Coturnix japonica: one gene and its partners. The protein of the gene in region 1 binds, or shares a complex with, the protein of each later gene. Links are inferred from orthologs where the notes say so. Each region holds a gene or a part of one and is shown on either strand. Other genes may lie near its edges.

The links.
Region 2: the proteins of UBE2I (region 1) and SUMO1 are in contact, whole or in part, in a cryo-EM structure (PDB 9B62), measured with the Homo sapiens proteins. The link is inferred for Coturnix japonica from reciprocal best matches to the Homo sapiens genes UBE2I and SUMO1. Residues at the interface, in NP_003336.1 of Homo sapiens: Asp19, Lys48, Asn85, Cys93, Leu94, Ser95, Arg104, Lys110, Gln111, Leu114, Gly115, Glu118, Leu119, Glu122, Asn124, Asp127, Pro128, Ala129; in NP_001005781.1 of Homo sapiens: Gln29, Asp30, Ser31, Gln55, Gly56, Val57, Arg63, Tyr91, Gln92, Glu93, Thr95, Gly96, Gly97.
Region 3: the proteins of UBE2I (region 1) and IPO13 are in contact, whole or in part, in a crystal structure (PDB 2XWU), measured with the Homo sapiens proteins. The link is inferred for Coturnix japonica from reciprocal best matches to the Homo sapiens genes UBE2I and IPO13. Residues at the interface, in NP_003336.1 of Homo sapiens: Arg13, Lys14, Arg17, Lys18, Asp19, His20, Pro21, Phe22, Val25, Val27, Lys59, Glu99, Asp100, Lys101, Asp102, Arg104, Lys110, Gln111, Leu114, Ile125, Gln126, Pro128, Ala131, Tyr134, Thr135, Cys138, Gln139, Ser158; in NP_055467.3 of Homo sapiens: Leu33, Tyr34, Tyr35, Asp36, Pro37, Ile39, Lys42, Gln46, Glu73, Tyr76, Gln178, Thr179, Arg181, Gln231, Glu261, Val264, Asn265, Met302, Glu303, His306, Arg310, Val313, Glu317, Asn318, Thr355, Ser358, Leu359, Leu361, Thr362, Ser413.

Annotation. Positions count from the first base shown.
Region 1 is NC_029529.1:7,277,386-7,284,098, forward strand, and holds the start of UBE2I (SUMO-conjugating enzyme UBC9), read left to right. Parts: upstream 1-2,686; 5' UTR 2,687-2,802; intron 2,803-2,995; exon of another isoform or gene 2,996-3,129; intron 3,130-3,523; exon of another isoform or gene 3,524-3,801; intron 3,802-6,713. UniProt on the Homo sapiens protein: Accepts the ubiquitin-like proteins SUMO1, SUMO2, SUMO3, SUMO4 and SUMO1P1/SUMO5 from the UBLE1A-UBLE1B E1 complex and catalyzes their covalent attachment to other proteins with the help of an E3 ligase such as RANBP2, CBX4 and ZNF451.
Region 2 is NC_029522.1:10,239,576-10,244,507, forward strand, and holds part of SUMO1 (small ubiquitin-related modifier 1), read right to left. Parts: intron 4,694-4,932; coding exon 4,619-4,693; intron 3,569-4,618; coding exon 3,491-3,568; intron 1,908-3,490; coding exon 1,836-1,907; intron 884-1,835; coding exon 815-883; 3' UTR 1-814. UniProt on the Homo sapiens protein: Ubiquitin-like protein that can be covalently attached to proteins as a monomer or a lysine-linked polymer.
Region 3 is NC_029523.1:18,001,917-18,006,357, forward strand, and holds the end of IPO13 (importin-13), read left to right. Parts: intron 1-2,237; coding exon 2,238-2,304; intron 2,305-2,478; coding exon 2,479-2,537; intron 2,538-2,697; coding exon 2,698-2,787; intron 2,788-2,899; coding exon 2,900-3,081; intron 3,082-3,175; coding exon 3,176-3,272; 3' UTR 3,273-3,877; downstream 3,878-4,441. UniProt on the Homo sapiens protein: Functions in nuclear protein import as nuclear transport receptor. Serves as receptor for nuclear localization signals (NLS) in cargo substrates.

The DNA.
Region 1 (6,713 bases):
TATTGCCCATGTTGAAATCTAACAGCTGTTGTGAACAGAACTGCCAACAGAGAGACTTTGAGGAAGACTCTGTGCCAGGAAATTGATGCTGAATGTTTCATTGCAGCTTAGCTGTCCTTCACTGTTGCAAGATCTACCAAGGTATAAACTTCTGAAAAGTTCAGTAAATAAATACTGCTGCAAACAGAGCCTTCTGGGTTCTTTCCAGGGTTCTCTTCAGGATGTTGTTTATTAATAATTATGATAATTAAAACAATTTATTGAGAATTATTTTGATCCTTTGGGGGCAGCTGGGGCAGGAGAAGGTTCTGCTAGTTCTCCTTGCTTTGGAATGCTGAGCGTAGGGCTTGACCCAACCTGTTGAGACTTCCAGGCCCGATCCATGTGAAATGTAAGAGTTGAAATACCCGTGTACGTGATTCTTGCTCCTTTGGAAGATTTTACAAAAGCTCATGCACAACGTTACTCAAATTGAAGTTGGCCCACGCGTTCTTGCTAGGAGAAAAGCAAGTGCCAAGACACTGTTAAAAAAGAAAAACGTTGCCAACCTATCTGCCTGGAACTGAACCAAGATCACCAAACTGAACAAGTACCAAATGGCAACTAAACTATCTCAGCCTGCTTCTGTCCTGAGCCTCATCTGAGCCCAGCTGTGACAAAATCCCTGAATCTATTTCCTACATTCTGTCTAGGCCCACGTACCCAATTCAGCAGGTTGGTTTTGTTGGTTTTAAAGCACCTGTCTCACAATTAGTTGTGCATCAGCTGTTTGTGTTAATATCCAAGTGGCCATACTTGCAACATGTTATTTCCTGGATAGTGGATTAGCAATAACACTTTATTTTGTGCCAATTTGTTATCTCTGAAGTGTTCTTACTGCAGCAAAGTTTGAGTTTTGATTTGGTTTTAATGCCTTTGCATTGACCAGAACTCTTAGCACAGACATGGACAAAAAATTGAATCCAGGGGGTTTCTCTGGATAAAAAATCTGCTAGGGCTTCCCAAGACATTTGAAGTTGGTATAGTTAGCCATCATTTTTAAAACAAAGATACGATTAAAAATGTGTGTGGGTATTTTTTTAACCTCCTTTTCATAACACTAGCATATTGTAAACTGCATGAAATAAATCTGTTTTTCCCTTTTAAAGTCTGATGTCTTAAATCTCTCTTTTCTAAATCCCCTAAGGTTGACCGTAACAGTCGCTGATACACCTGGTGTAGCACTTCATTTAAATACAGAATGTTTTATTTCTCTGTAGTCATTCAAAGCAGCAAATCCTTTTCTGTTTCCTCAAAGACTTGATTACAGAAAAAGCCGTGCTTATTTGGAAGTACATCCACTGGGAAATTAAGGTATTTTCCTTTGTGTTTATACAGTCACTGATCATTATAGCAGGAAATTGTCCCTTCTGGGATGGGTATATAACCAAGAAGAGTGTCAAGTTTTAATTAATGACTTTGTGTATATTTTCTTTCATTCACGGAGCTAACAAATCAACCTGCCTAACCTCACTGATTACTTTTTGAATCCAGTATGTAGATTTTTAATAGAAATACTTATATCTGAAAAATGAATCTGAAAGTGACACTTTGTAATAAGAAATGTAAATAAGCCAATTAATGAATTCTGGAATCTTAGGGGGGTACACCATTAAGAATGAGGTGAATTTCATCTTAATAGTTTTAATCAGTTTTAAATGCAAAGCATGTTTAAAGTTTTCCTTACATCTTCCATTAGTGATGGTCAGGATGCTTTCTGTACACAGCTCTTCTCCATCTCTCCTCCAGCATTTACTAGTTAAAAGGAATACAGTAACTAATGCCATAAGTATTTGTGCGTTAGGGTGAGAGAAGAAAGTTGGGCAGGAGGGCCCACAGAAAGAGAGACATCCTATTTTGCATCATTGTGCTGTGCAGTGGGGTAAAGCATGTATAGGAAAAGGAGATATTCATTCCAAGGGAAGACAATTCCTCTTGAATGAGAGAAGCTCAATGAAGATGGGGTGAGAATACGACAAGTGTTTTGAGGATCTGGTTTGTTTCTATTTTCTGAGACCAACCTGGGGAAGGTTCCTCCATCGTTTCTGTGGAGTTAAACCGAGATTAAATTGAAATGTGAGCGTGGATTGTTTAGAGAATAAATAAATCAAACCAGGGAAGGAGCTGCCGGAGCACTGGGCTCACCCTCCTGGTTAAACACGGGAGTGGCTGCACATTAGAACCCTCATTTAAGCTGCCTTTAAACCCTCAGCCCATGAAGGCTCCGCACCCATCCCTGCATCGCCGCCATAGTGTCTTTATCAGTAGAATTTGATAATTCCTGCCCTTGGTTTTTCACACAGAGCTTTGGCCTGATGACACCTTGCTTTGTGCTGTGTTATGGGTACTGACAGGAGATCATTGTTGTCCCATCAATATATAAGTGCTTATTTATGGCAATGCCTAATGATGGCAGAATGGAGGGGAAGATAAGCCATGGTTGGTATTAAGGCGCTATATACGGTGCAGTTCAATGGACAGACCATGGCCGGATGCTGCTCAGAGGTTTAAAGACCCGACATGTTTCGTTACATTAAACGTGAATGTTCCAAACAAACCCACAGCGACACGAACCCCCTGCAGGCGGGATGGCCCCGCCCCCTCCTGGCTCTGCCCAATGACAGCTCAGGGTCGACTCCCCATCCTCCAATCAGAGACGCGGGTGGTGGCGGTGGGCGGGTCCTATCGAGCTGAGGCGCAGTGGCCGGCCCCGCCGTGTTCTCGGGCCGGTTGTCGGGCACGGCTGACTCCACAGCGCCTGAGGTAAAAGTTCCGCCCGTGTTTCCGTGGCGGCTCGTCGTTGTGCCGGGCCGTGCTCGGATCCGCTCCGCCTCGTGTCGTTCCCCGCTCAGGCGCTGTCGGGCCGCCCGCAGGTCCTGCCGAACCGCGCCTGCGCAGCGGGACGGACGGGTCGGGCCGAGGGACACACGGCGATAAAGCGAACGGCACCGAGAGAGGGAGGGGGAGAGAGGAAGGGAGAGGGAGGGAAACTCCGGAGCAGAGACAAAGGGGGGGAGCGGAGCCGGGAACATCCGGGTCATTCGCCGCTGCCTCAATCCGGGACACACGCGGGTGCTGCGGCCGAGCACGGTGAGGCCTGGCCGGGAGCGGGGCCTGGGGCGGCGGGGCCCGGCCCGGTGCGGCCCGGCCCGGTGCGGCCTGGTCCGGTGCCTCGCGTTGCGGCGGTTCGCGGGCACGGCGGTTCCCGGCGGTTCCCGGTCGGCGCGGCCGGGCCTGACGGCGTCTGGCTGCCCAACTCGGGACGGCTCCGCTCTGTCCCTGCGCCGCGGCCCGCTCAGCTCTCGGCCGCCTACGGGGCGCACTCGGCGGCTGAGCTGCGTGCGCCGACCGGCTGCGCCCAGCGCTCCCCGCCCCGCCAATAGCTCGCCCGGCACACACAGGCCTCGGCCGCTCCGCGGGGCTCGCGAGACCAACGGCGGCGGCGGCGGCCGGGACAGCGCTGCGCCGCTCCGTGCTGGGCCGCCCCGCGGTTCCTTTTGTTGTTCTCGGAACTACCGTGCGGGTCGGTGCCGCCTGAGCCGCTTATTGCGCTGCAGACTTTGTGCGGCAGTTTTAGGCGCTGCGATTTGGTTCCACCTCAACCATTGAGTTTCTCTGACTGGAAAGGAAAGGAAAGGAAAGGAAAGGAAAGGAAAGGAAAGGAAAGGAAAGGAAAGGAAAGGAAAGGAAAGGAAAGGAAAGCTGCCCCGGCAAACAGCGCAGGTTTAACGATCCTTACAGCGTCTGCTTCTGATTCGTAATGTAATCGGTCTTAACGATTTGATTCATGTATTGATTTTTGAATGAATGGAGAATGAAGGAGCACGTTGTGTATATACAGATTTGTAATGGGGCAGGGATGCAGGCGCGGTGATCACTGTGCTATGGGAGCACTGTGCTGTGCTGGGGCTGCTGGATGGATGGCACAGCAGTGTGGGCTGGGTTTGGTCCCAGTGCAGGTAGTGCCAGCAACAGAGCTGAGCTACCAGCACTCTGGGAAGTTTCTAGTGAGTTGGTAGTGATAAATGGGCCGTTGGTACCTCCTGGTGCTGGTGTGTGCAGGAGGGAATAGTGCTAAATTGAATGGGAGGACAGAGATGGATTTTCTCCAGCTTAGAACTTGGTGTTCTTTCTAATGATGGACCTCTCCCATACAGTAAGTTGGGACTTAATTGTGTTCATTCAGTCACCTTCTCAGGTGAGGGAAGGAAAGTCAATGGGATGCAATATCTGAAACAAGTGTAAAAAAAAAATCCATAAACCAAGTGTTTAAAATCTGTTCCGTGGTGGCCGTTGTTCACCCTCCTGGAGTCACATGGGAGAACTGTGCAACTTTGAGATCAAAAACCTGTAGGAAAACTGCACCTCCCTCCCCCCAAAAAAATCTGGATTTCTGGTAAGGTGAAAATGAAGTTTGGATAGGGTTGGTTTGCTGGCTCAGTGCAGTCAGTCCATCTGCTGCACTCTGCCTGAAGATGATAATTGCAGTTATTTAAGTCCTGCCTGAGACATTGGAACCGGAGTCTTGCAGAAGAGGGAGAGCAAATACAGGCATTAGTTCAAGCTCAGACGGGGCTGAGCTGTTCTGTCCCAGTTGTGTTCAACATTACTAAATAATGAGGTGAAGTTTGACTATTGCTTGACATAATGAAAAACAAAAGTTCAAACCAAGAGCCACTAAACTTCATGTAGTTGTGGTAAGTTAAAAGTATCAGCTAATGATCAGCTAATGATTACTAATACATAAAACAGTGTAATAGAACTGATTTCTTCAAGGTGTTTAGGAGTCTCACTCTGGTTAGATGTGCCAGAAGTGACTGCTGTTAAATCCCTGGCAAGTATCAGTGTTTATCGGATTTCCATTACGTGGCCTTAATATTCAGGGGACTGGAATGGCAAATATTAAGTAGACTAAATATACGTACCTGGCAGCTAATTTGAGAATACAAATGCTTATCTCTTGGTCAGGGCTATCTTGATATCTCCTTGTTAATCATGATTGTAAAGTGTTCGGATTTGGTCTCCAGGTGCTAAAAGCACAGCTGAAATTCTGTCACATGTTCGTTGGTTAATTAAAATCTCTAGGAGGGGTGTGAGCTCATGGAATAAAATTCCTCCCCTTATAGTTTTGTTCTGGTTTCTCTTGGGATGCTCTGCTTCTCTTGCTGGACAGTTGGCTGAAAGCTGAAGTGTTATCTATGGTTCTGGTGTGAAGTCCTGCAAGTGTTCTTACATAACCAGGACACTGGTGTATGTATTGGGAACATGAGAATGAGTGCAGGCTTCTTTTGTGTGTGTTTACTGCACAGAGCATTAATGGTGCCTTCTAAAAAGCTTTAACTCTAGTTACGTTCTAGCAGGGATTGTACTATTGAAATGATGGACTGTGGATGTGCAGGCTGATCTGACTTAGGGAAAAAGAAGGGAGAGGAGAGAAGGAAGAAGGGTTTTTAAGGACGCTTAGTTAAGGTGTCTGTACTGTGGGGCCACTTCTGATGGGTTAATATGTAAATGGAGAGCCTGATGTCTTCTGATCTTCTGAGAGTACGGCAGATAGGCACGAGTAATCAAGAGTGAGATTGTAAAACAAGGGCTTTTTTGAGCTAGAGCTGGTATGGTCGGGTAGTTTATGTATAGAGTTATGTATAGAGTTTATGTATATGTATTAATCCTTAATGATTATGTAAATGTTTGCTGTAATAGAGTGATAATATTTCTTTCACTCATTCTGTAAGCTTATTTAGGAGCGAGATACTGCTCTGGTGGCTGTATGAAGTAGTTAGGATGACTGTTCTGAACTCACAGCTACCAAGTTTTAGTTCTTGTTTGAACGGGTAGAAGTGCAGTGGGGAGGAGGATTAAAGATCTTTGCTGGAGGTTTCTGACCACTAATGGAATGATATGGTTAATGAGATGGTGAGTTTAGTACAGTTTGAGCATGAAAAATAAGGTCTCACTTCAGCTGCTCTTGTGGTTGAGTGGAGGATCCTCCCCTGATTCTGGGAGGGAATTTGTGTCTAGAATTGTTCTCGTGTTGTCACATCTTGGTCGCTGTACTTGGCTGATACTTAAGACAGTGAAGATCCTGGAAGATTGCTCAGTTTATATGGGTATTAAAGATCTGTCTTGTAGGATGAGTGGGCTGCTCACTGACTTCCTCAGTTAATTTCTGTCTCTTCTTTTGGCATGACATCAGAATCACTCCAGTTTGCTAAATCCTGTGCCCTTGTTGCTTTTGTGTAGAACCCTGGATTTTAGCAGGGACTTGGTCTATTAGTGGTGTTTCTTATTCTCATGTTGGCCAGAAATGGGAGCAGTGCAGGCGTTTGCCTTCAGAGGAGAGCGGTACCTTTCATGATGTCACAGAGAACTGGATATGCCTTTGTCAGTCTCAAGCAGGAAATCTGAGCCTTTCCTCCTGTCAGTGATAGTGTTACTGCTATCAAGATACTTGGAAAATTATTTTGACAGTGTGGTTCAAATATGAAATACACAGTGGGTACATGTAAAACTGGGTTAAGTCCAGTACCTGGGATGTAGTTGATGTGGGGTAACTTTATGACATTATTAGTGTTAACATCTGCTGTGTGTGAAAACATGTCGTGGCTGTGGTAAAAATGGAAGGCCAAAAGACTTCTTGAGTGGTCGGAACTCTTATATGGAGAACATAATGT
Region 2 (4,932 bases), on another chromosome or scaffold:
AATGCAAATTGTTTATAAAATCGTTTTTCTTGTTTATTTTAAATGAAGCTGGTACAGACAATGTCCATTCAAAACCCATGTCCCAGGCCAAAAGGTACAAACAAGAGTGTCAAAGTAACACCAGTTGCCTGCTGTGAACATTCTTGCATGAATACCTGCGTGTACTAATTGCTATATGAAGTTAAAATGCTTCTGGGCTCTTCTGGCAAGATTTAAGAATCATTAGGGTTTTCAATTCTATGTCTTCAGCAAAGCCATCTCTGGAGCAAGGTACAGATGACAACGGTTCTAGATTTTTTCGTTTCCAACTCTGGTCTTCTTCGTCGGGCCATCAGCACAATTTAAGTAAAATAGCTCTGAGTTACGGATACATGATTTCTCCACAGTTTAGTTCTGAAAAACTTCATCTCGCACTGAAAGTTATAGTCCAGGAGTGAAACAGTCACACATCAAAACTTCAGGGCAGATATGGAAGTCATTAAGAACACTCGCCCACCTGGCAGATCTTACAACCTTCGTGCCTGAAATGCACGAACTTAGTGAACATACAAATGCATGTGTGTATATGTATTTCTAAAGGGGAGGGCGGAAGGGAAAAGGAGAGCAGGGCTGCAGCTGGATCACAGAAGTTCAGCACAATGAAAACAGAAACAATAGTGTATAATGAGCACGAGAATTTAAAATACCAGACGCTCGAAAATAAACTCCCAGAGATGGGGTGCCAGTTTCAATTCAGTGTTGAACACCACATTACAAAAGAACTATTATTTAAAAATAAAAAAGGATTAAGGGGAAATAAAACAAACAGAAGGATCTAAACTGTTGAGTGACCCCCCGTCTGTTCCTGATAAACTTCAATCACATCTTCCTCCTCCATCCCCAGCTGTTAGAACAGAGAAAAAAAAAAACAGCACAATTGTTACAAATCTGGTGCACCGAATTCAGAGCAGGTCCTAGAAAAGCTATCTGATGCTTTGTTCTTCTGCCTCATCATTTTTCAAAGGACAAAGAGGTGAAAAATTTTTCACTTAATACCTCACTAGCCAACACTCATGCTCTTAAGTATTTTTTCTTCCATCATATACATTTCAGCACATCTTCTCAGTCAAAGCAATAATCTTATCTGTGAAGTCCAAATTCACTTGTGAAGCAGCACACATCAGCTTGAAAAATACTAGCTTTACTTTCCTCTAAACTTCTTGGGCAATGGATGCACAGGAATGTAACTACCAACACTGTGAATGCACCCGCTGTATAGCCGCATGGATGATATACTGCATGCTGCTAAGCATGATACAGCTAAGACCTACAGCTTGCAACTCAAAGCCTGTTCACAGCTGTTGTCTCAAACAAAGTAACTTGTTCATTGTGGAATTCAAGAAGTTTGATTTTTTTTCAGAAGGTCATCATTATAACTCAGTATTTCAGTATTTCTTCCTGTTCCTTTCTTCGTAACAATTGGTGGAAGTCACCAGATAGCAAAAGTAATCTGTTTGCTGTTTATTTACACTTTCATCTAATAAATGTGAACAAAATACATGTTTACTTCAAATTCAAGCTGAAGATCTAGAACAACAACTGATCAGTTCCCTCAGACTTTTTTCCACTATATGCGAAGGTCCAATTAGTCTTTTTTCTGACCTATGTAGCAACCTTATTGAATACTTCAGTCATACAAGTATAATCAGACTACAATTAGTCAGAGATGTATTGACAGATGGGCTACATTTAAAGAATCAAATCAGGTTAATATAGCAGAACAGATAAACTAACACATTTTGTAATTATTTTCTCTACTGAATGCTGTATGCAACACTCTCTGAAAAGAAACTTACCTCCTTGGGGGTATGATTATCAGTAATCCTCTGACCCTCGAAGAGAAACCTGAGTGAGTTCATTGGAACACCCTTAAAAAAAAAAAAAAAAAAAAAAAAGCACAAAAAAACCTCAACCAAGATGCAAACATTTACAAGAAACACATTTTTAATAAAAACAGTGCACATATAAGTTAAAAAGGAAAGCGTAGGTTCTTGTTACACAGAGAGCTCAGCTATCCTGCTGCTCCCATGTAAACTACCAAGTGTCTCAAGGAGAGCAATAGTGCTGAACTGCATCATTCTTCCAAAGTTACAGTAAAGTTCTTCGGGATCAAGAACTGGGAAATTTTCTTAGCATCTCCCCTCCCCAACTCCTCTAAAGTACCAACTATGCACTCCCAAGGCATTACAGGAGGGTGCAGCCTTCTTCTAAACCATTTATCAGCCTTTTTAAAGACTACCATAACATACAGAATATGTGTACTTCACAAACTCCTACACTTGCTTCCACAATCTTATAACACTGCAATAAAGAATGGTATCCTCTACAGATACAAGCTCTGCAAAAGCCCTACGCTGTGAAGGAGAGGGAGCAGAGAAAAGAGCACCCAAGAGCTAATAAAATAAGATCACAGTACATCTAGTGTACAGCATTCCTACGTTAAAGCTTAATACCACACTTCACCTTTGCAGCTAAGACAAACACCTAACCTTTTCCTCTTCTTTCATATCCATTATCAGCAAAGTGCAAGTGAAATATGACCCGTTTAGTGCATCATTTACATCTCAGAAATGTTGCTTACTTGACACCAAAAGCAGTGTTGATAACAAATGAAGGAACTGGGACTCTCTAGAAATCAGCCAGGAGAAAGATGTAGTTCTGCCTACCAAAACATATATTTCTTGGAAAAAAAATCTGCACATACACATTTCTAACAGTGAATACGACTAACTGCATGAATGAATGCCAGCATCTGCCTTTTAGTTTTCTGATGAATCCCAATTTTAGTCACTTTTTAGTTTGGGTTGCAAGGATATCTGTCATTTAACCTTTTATCTCCTTCTCTAGTAGGATAGCAGGCCATATAGCAACATTACTGTACAAAGGCACAGAAAATCTAATGTGTCATAGTATGAAAGAGGTATTTCTACAGAACTTACCATACTTTGATGCAAATCAAACTTAGCACTAAAATAAAAAGTTGGGGTTTTTTTGGTTTTTTTTTTTAATAGTTTTATTTACTGAATTGAACTTCAGTGCAATTGCTCAAGAAAAGGCCACATAAGGCATCTGTCCCCAAAGCTAGGAGTGAAGTAGACCAGGGCCGCTAAGAATAGCATCACTGAATCCACAGTATCTGCCATAGAACCTGTAAGTGAACACATATTTCCTGTCCTGGAAGAGCGGTCACTATTTACCTGTATCAAGCACTGATACTGCATATTTCTTTAGGTTAGGGTATAATAGCTCATGCAAATGTATTATCATACTTATGACAGTAACAACATATAAGGCTGCCCTCATCCCAAGCTGCAGTATTCTATTTCAAGGAAATTTCAAAAGGATCCAGAAGATTTTACAGTAATTTCAAATGTAAACCTGGACATTTTAAAAGATTACTTCTACACCTTCTGAACAGCCACTGTACATTCAGTGTCATGGTTTCACAAACCTGTCTTTGACAGTATGATTCTTTGAGTTTCTTGAGGTGTGTTGTCATTTTCACCTTGAAGTGAATTTCACTGCTGTCCTATGAATAGAAAAGAAAAAAATATTAATTCGGCAACTGCTTACTTTCTCTATGCTCATTTTAAAAGATTCATTAAAAAAGTCTTACAAAAAAAGTAGCACAGAACACTATTTAATTATCACTGGGCATAATTTAGTGACTGCTAAACCATCTTAGAGGTTCATGTTATGCACTTACATTCATCACTTTCGCAGGAAGCCCTGCTTTGAAACAGATGGCACAATACAGCCTTCAGCTCGCCACGGACATTTTTGGATTTAGAAGTATTAAATACCATACTCAGCTCAGTCTGTACTCCATCTTTTACCAGCTGACATACTTACAAAATACAAACATACATATGCAGGGGACTTCTGCTCTAAGATTCCACGAGACAAGTTAAAGCTTGTATTTCAAAATATATGCAAAACCTTGTTCAAATAGAGCAACTATCTGGAGCTTAGGATACAGGCTAACTTGGCAACATAACATCAACCTAAAGCAAAATCTCAGCTCTCAATATTCTGCAGTTCTTCCTACAAGCAATAAGGTACAAATCATTGCATTTGTCAAAATGGCTACAGATAAAGCAGACCACGAAATGTTCTGTGCAAACACACAGCTTTCGAGTGTGTTCTCATTATAGCTGATTAAACCAGCAAGACTTGAGTTTACACCAGCACCAGTTAAAATCATGTCTCTGGTAAACAGTAACTGTACTAATACTCCAACCAACAACAAGTTAAATCAAATGAACTAATGTGGAATTCTTCTGTTCTGGAAGAGTTTAGATATCTATTTAAACAATACAAATTCAGACTTACAATCCATCACCCATTACCAACAAGTCAATCAACAGAATCCTCTTCCTACTCTTAACCAGTAGGGTTGATCCCATGTTTGCCATACATGAACTCCAAAGACCCAAATGTAAGAGCATGCTAACACACATTGCTGGCAATTGGTCAAAGACTCGCATTGAAGAACTTAACACATCAGCTTCTCTCCCATTCATTACAATATTTAAAAAATTCACAGTGTCTCCCAAATAGCCATTACGTAAAAACTCACCTGCCCAATGACTTTGAGTTTAATGTATTCCCCCTCTTTCTTATCTCCTAAGTCCTCAGCTGAAGGCTTTGCTTCCTGCAGGAAAAACATTTAAAAAAAAAAATTATATTGAAGTCCAACACTTATTTTCACTAGACAATACAATGCCAGTTATACTCATCATAATAAATTCACACTTCAAGGTATCTTATTTCTTCCTCCATACATGAAAATAGTAGCATACTACTACAGTACGCTACCTGTCTGCATGTGAGAAGTTAATGATGGAAGGAACAGCACGAAGAACATAAGAAGGACCATTGGGAAGCACTGGA
Region 3 (4,441 bases), on another chromosome or scaffold:
GCCTGAGCACAGTTATCACCTGCTGAGGCAGTGCCCCTTCCTAAAATGGAGGCTCTACTCTATGAGGTGTGTGCTTAGGGAAGATAGGTTGGTCCTGAACATGAGGAGAGTGCTCTGGAGCACTGCAGGAACCAGCTGTGAGGCACATGCTATCCCTTGGCTGTGGGAGGAGCGGAGCTTGGTGGCCTCCCATGTCCCCAGGTACAGAAGAGCTGCTCTTCAGACCCGTTTGGAGGGTGTCCCAGCAGCCACAGAGGAAAACCATGTTGCTGAGCCTGCAAGACAGCCCTCATTGGAGAGGCAGCACCTACCTCTACAGCACCCACTGCAGAGGACAGGGGGGATGTTCCCGCTGTGTAGCAGTTGCAGACCTGTCCTTATCCCACAGCCACTCTGACAAGAGACATGGAGGACAGACAGGCAGTGAGAGGTCCCATGAAGAAGTGAGATTCAGCAGTTGTGCCTACCCAATGTGGCTTCCTCATGGAGCAACTCCACAGGTTTCCATCTCTGTCTGCATTAGATGTGTACACATACCTGGATTGAGCTCACATGCTGTGCTCCCTTAGTGAAGATGACCTGCGGGAAGGATCCTCTTGTATCAAAGCACATTCACTCCCAGCACTCACCAAGCCAGGAGCAGGTGCTGCAGGGGGCCCACAGGAGTGCCTGGACACCTTTGGCTACTGCAGGCCAGGTTGTCTAGGAGAAGCACCGTGCAGGTAGGTGGCTTTGGTAACCTGAGCATGTTGGAAGACTTGTGCCAGATGAACAGCTTTGCAGGATGGAGGAGTTGATGACTGTGTGATGGCACCAGAGCCAGGCACCTTTGGCATTGTGCTGCTGGGGGCAGCGAGTGGCTTTAATTAACTGAAGTGATGTGTCTTGTGTGTGTTTGTCCAGTATGGGGCTGAGCAGACTGCAGCAGAGCAGTGAGCAGGTGCACAGTGGGTTGTCCTTGCAGTGAGTGTGCGGGAGGCTGTATATACACACACACGCATAGTGCAGCCCCTCGTCTCTCCAGTGAAGGCCACTGCTTGCATCTAGCAGGGAAGCAGTTCCCAGTGGATGTGCCACCTCTGCTGGGTACAGCAATGCCTTTTGCACCCAATTTACGTCATCTCTTGCAGCGTGTGATGCAGAGGGTCAGGAAGGAGAAGGGATAACCATGAAACCTGACAAGCTTCCAGCTGCCCAATGTATGTTCCCTGCGAGGGGTCAGTGGTCAAGGGTTTTCCCTTGAGGAGAAGGGGGATGTAAGTCAGTTTGGCTCCATGGGGGCTGGGTGGCTGTGGGTAGATGGCCATGAATCCTGAGCACTGTTGGCTGAAGGCTGTCCATGCTTTCACCCTGTGAAGCGAGCTTGGAAGGCAACGTGCAGCTCAGCCCATGGAACAGAGACTCTTGCTCCTGGCTCCTGCTGTGGTGTTTGGCTCTCAGACCTCTTAGGAAGAGCTGTGGCTGCTGTTCCTCCTGTTGCAGTGACAGTAGGGCAGGGTGAATGATTGCCAGCCAACAGTTGGCAGAAACCCTCCCATGAAGCAGCAGGCACAGGCTGAAGTGTTTTTATCCTGTACTGCCCTGTTCTGGCACAGCAGGGACCAAGCCCAGCAATGGTCCCATTGTGCCAAAGCTCAGGATGTCCCTAGCAGTGGTGGAATAGCAAAACCAGAGCAGCCGGTGGGCTCACCAAGTGGCAGAATAAACCCAGAGTTTTTGCTCGTGAATTGCCAAGCAATTTCAGCATCTCATTGCCTCTATTGCTCTGCAGCAGGAGCAGAGCGAGTTGTTGGCCTAGACTTGGAGTCAAACAGAATGTGTGTCAATGGAATTGATGGCTGTGACCCCAGGAACACTGGCAGTGAGAGGACCAAGCCAGTGGGGGCTGTTATATGCTAGGGCACCTGTGTCCCAGGAGCGCTGCCTCTGCCTGTTCTGGGACAGGATGCCTCTTTCTGTGTCTGAAGCATCTGTGCATATACCACCTTGGTATCTATCTTCGTGTCTTGGGGTCAGAGCTCCCCAAGCATTGCAAATGGCCTGGATGTATGATTGACATTTTCTTGGGGGGGAAGAGCAACCGTTTCCTTCTCTACTCTGTGAATCTGCTGTTACTATGCGTGTGCCCAGGTAAGTGTGCATCCAGGCAGAGGCTGTCTGGAGCGCCAGGTTCCTAGGAGTCTTCCCAGCTGCTGTTGCAGGGCTGTGTTTATTCTGTCTGTCTGTGTGCCTTGCAGGCTCTGAAAAGGAAGCCAGACCTCTTCCTGTGTAGCAACCTGGATGTCAAGGCAGTGTTTCAGTGTGGTGAGTACTGTGGGAACATGGTACACGCTGGCACCTGCTCCCCAACCTTGTGTGGAGTCCAGCCTGCTGCTCCTGCAGCTCTGAATGGAGCAGCCAGGGACTGGGGACTGTGGTGCTGGTTTGGGATGGTGTCTGAAAGCTCTGGCCGCTCACCTGAGTGCTTTGTGTCTGCAGGTGTCCTCTCCCTCAAGTTCCCTGAAGCCCCAACAGTGAAAGCATCCTGTGGCTTCTTTGTGAGTATCACGGCTTCCGCAGATGCGTTGGAACTGCATATCATAGGGATGCACAGAGGGGCTGCAGCCCACCAAGCAGAGCAGGAACGGGGCTGTGAGTTGCACAGGGGAGCAGCTGTGCGGTGCCTTGGCACTGACTGGGTTGGATGCTGTGTTGCAGACAGAGCTGCTGCCACGCTGCGGGGAGATCGCCCCAGTGGGACAGGTGGTGCATGAGAATGGCAAAGTGCTGCTGCAGGCGGTACTGGAGGTGAGTGGTGCTGGCATGGGTGGGTACATTGGAGTGATGCTGGGGCATCAAACACTAAGCTCAGCTCAGCCTCTTGCAGTGTAGTTCATCAGGATCTGTCTGCTCTGTACAGGGTGTCGGTGGCCAGGCTTCCCGCAGCCTCATGGATCACTTTGCAGAAATCCTCTTTGCCTTGAACAAGCATTGCTTCAGCTACCTAAGCATCTGGATCAAGGAGGCCATGCAGCAGGATGGTTTCCCTTCAGCCCGTGTCAGCCCCGAGCAGAAAGAGACCTTCAGCCAGCAGATCCTTAGGTTGGTGTCCCCAGTGCTGTGCTGCAGCAGCTGTATCCTACGCTGCTGTCCTTCCTGCTTGACTCACATCTGTCCCCTCCCTCTGTGTTAGCAGAGAGCGTGTGAACAAGCGGCGAGTGAAGGAGATGGTGAAGGAATTCACGCTGCTGTGCCGAGGGCTGCATGGCACAGAGTACACAGCAGACTACTGAGCACCCAACCAGGAATGCGGATGGTTTGCCTGGACCAGCTCTTCCCCACCAGGAAGCCCCCCGTCTTCCCTGCCCTGCTGCTGCAGTACAGCTCGTAGAATAACCCTCCACCTAGAATTAACCTACTCGGGACGCTCCTCAGCTAGACTTGGTGGCCGCATCTTGGTGTCAGCATCTTTGTTCCCCCAGCATGCTCCCCCCTCACAGGGGATGGGAATGCCGGCTGCAGGAGGTGGGGAGGGGGGGCCCAGAACAGGACCGCCCCAGCACAGACTGCCCTTTGCTGCACCGCAGCCAGGCTGCCCACTCTTCCCCAGCACGGCCCTGCAGAGGGGAGGCTGCACGGCAGGGACTGGCTGGGCAGGTGGGCTCGCCCCCTGCTCATTTGTATGTGTTGAGGTTGGGAGGGGGGAGGCCCCACACCTAATTATATTAAGGATATTTCTATGCTGTGGCTGTCATCGCTGTTGTTACCTGCACTTGGGAAAGAGCCAAGGTGAGGGTGTGGGGTGGTTACATAAAGGTTGATGTGCCTCACAGGCTCCTGTTCCCCTCTGGCTGGGGCAGGAATGGGAAAAAACTAGGGATCTCTAGTGTGTGTTGTACTCTGCTGTCCATCATGGATTATGCTCCTGCAGGGGGGACTGCATCCCCTCCACAGGTTGAGGGTCTTCTGGCAGCACAGAGGATGTGTGTGCACATCCTCATAATAGCAAGGGAGGGCTTGTTCACGTGCAGAGCCTCTGCCCATCTTAGTTTCCTGTTCTCCTAGGCTGGCTTTGGCCAACATGTAAGACTACAATCCCAAGGTGAGCCCTGTGATATGTTTTTGCTCTGGAACACCAGCTATTGCCTCTGTAGATACTCTTCAGCCCGCGCTTTATTCTAGAAGACAGTTCACTTCCAACTCCTCAGTTCAGCTTTAGTTAAAACCAGTAACTTATACAAGCCCCCAGTACCAGTGTTGTCAGCTCACAAGAAGCTCTGACCTTTCTTTATAGGGACAGAGTTCATCCTGCCCAGGGAAGGTGCAGAGCCTTTGTCAGCTAGAGTTGGACCAGGCTCCTTGTCCTGACCCTGCTGCTTGTCCTGGCTGTGAGCACAGGGGTGCAGTGGGCATCCCCAAAAACCCATATACCTCCTCCTGTCCCCCTGCAGTCCATATCCAG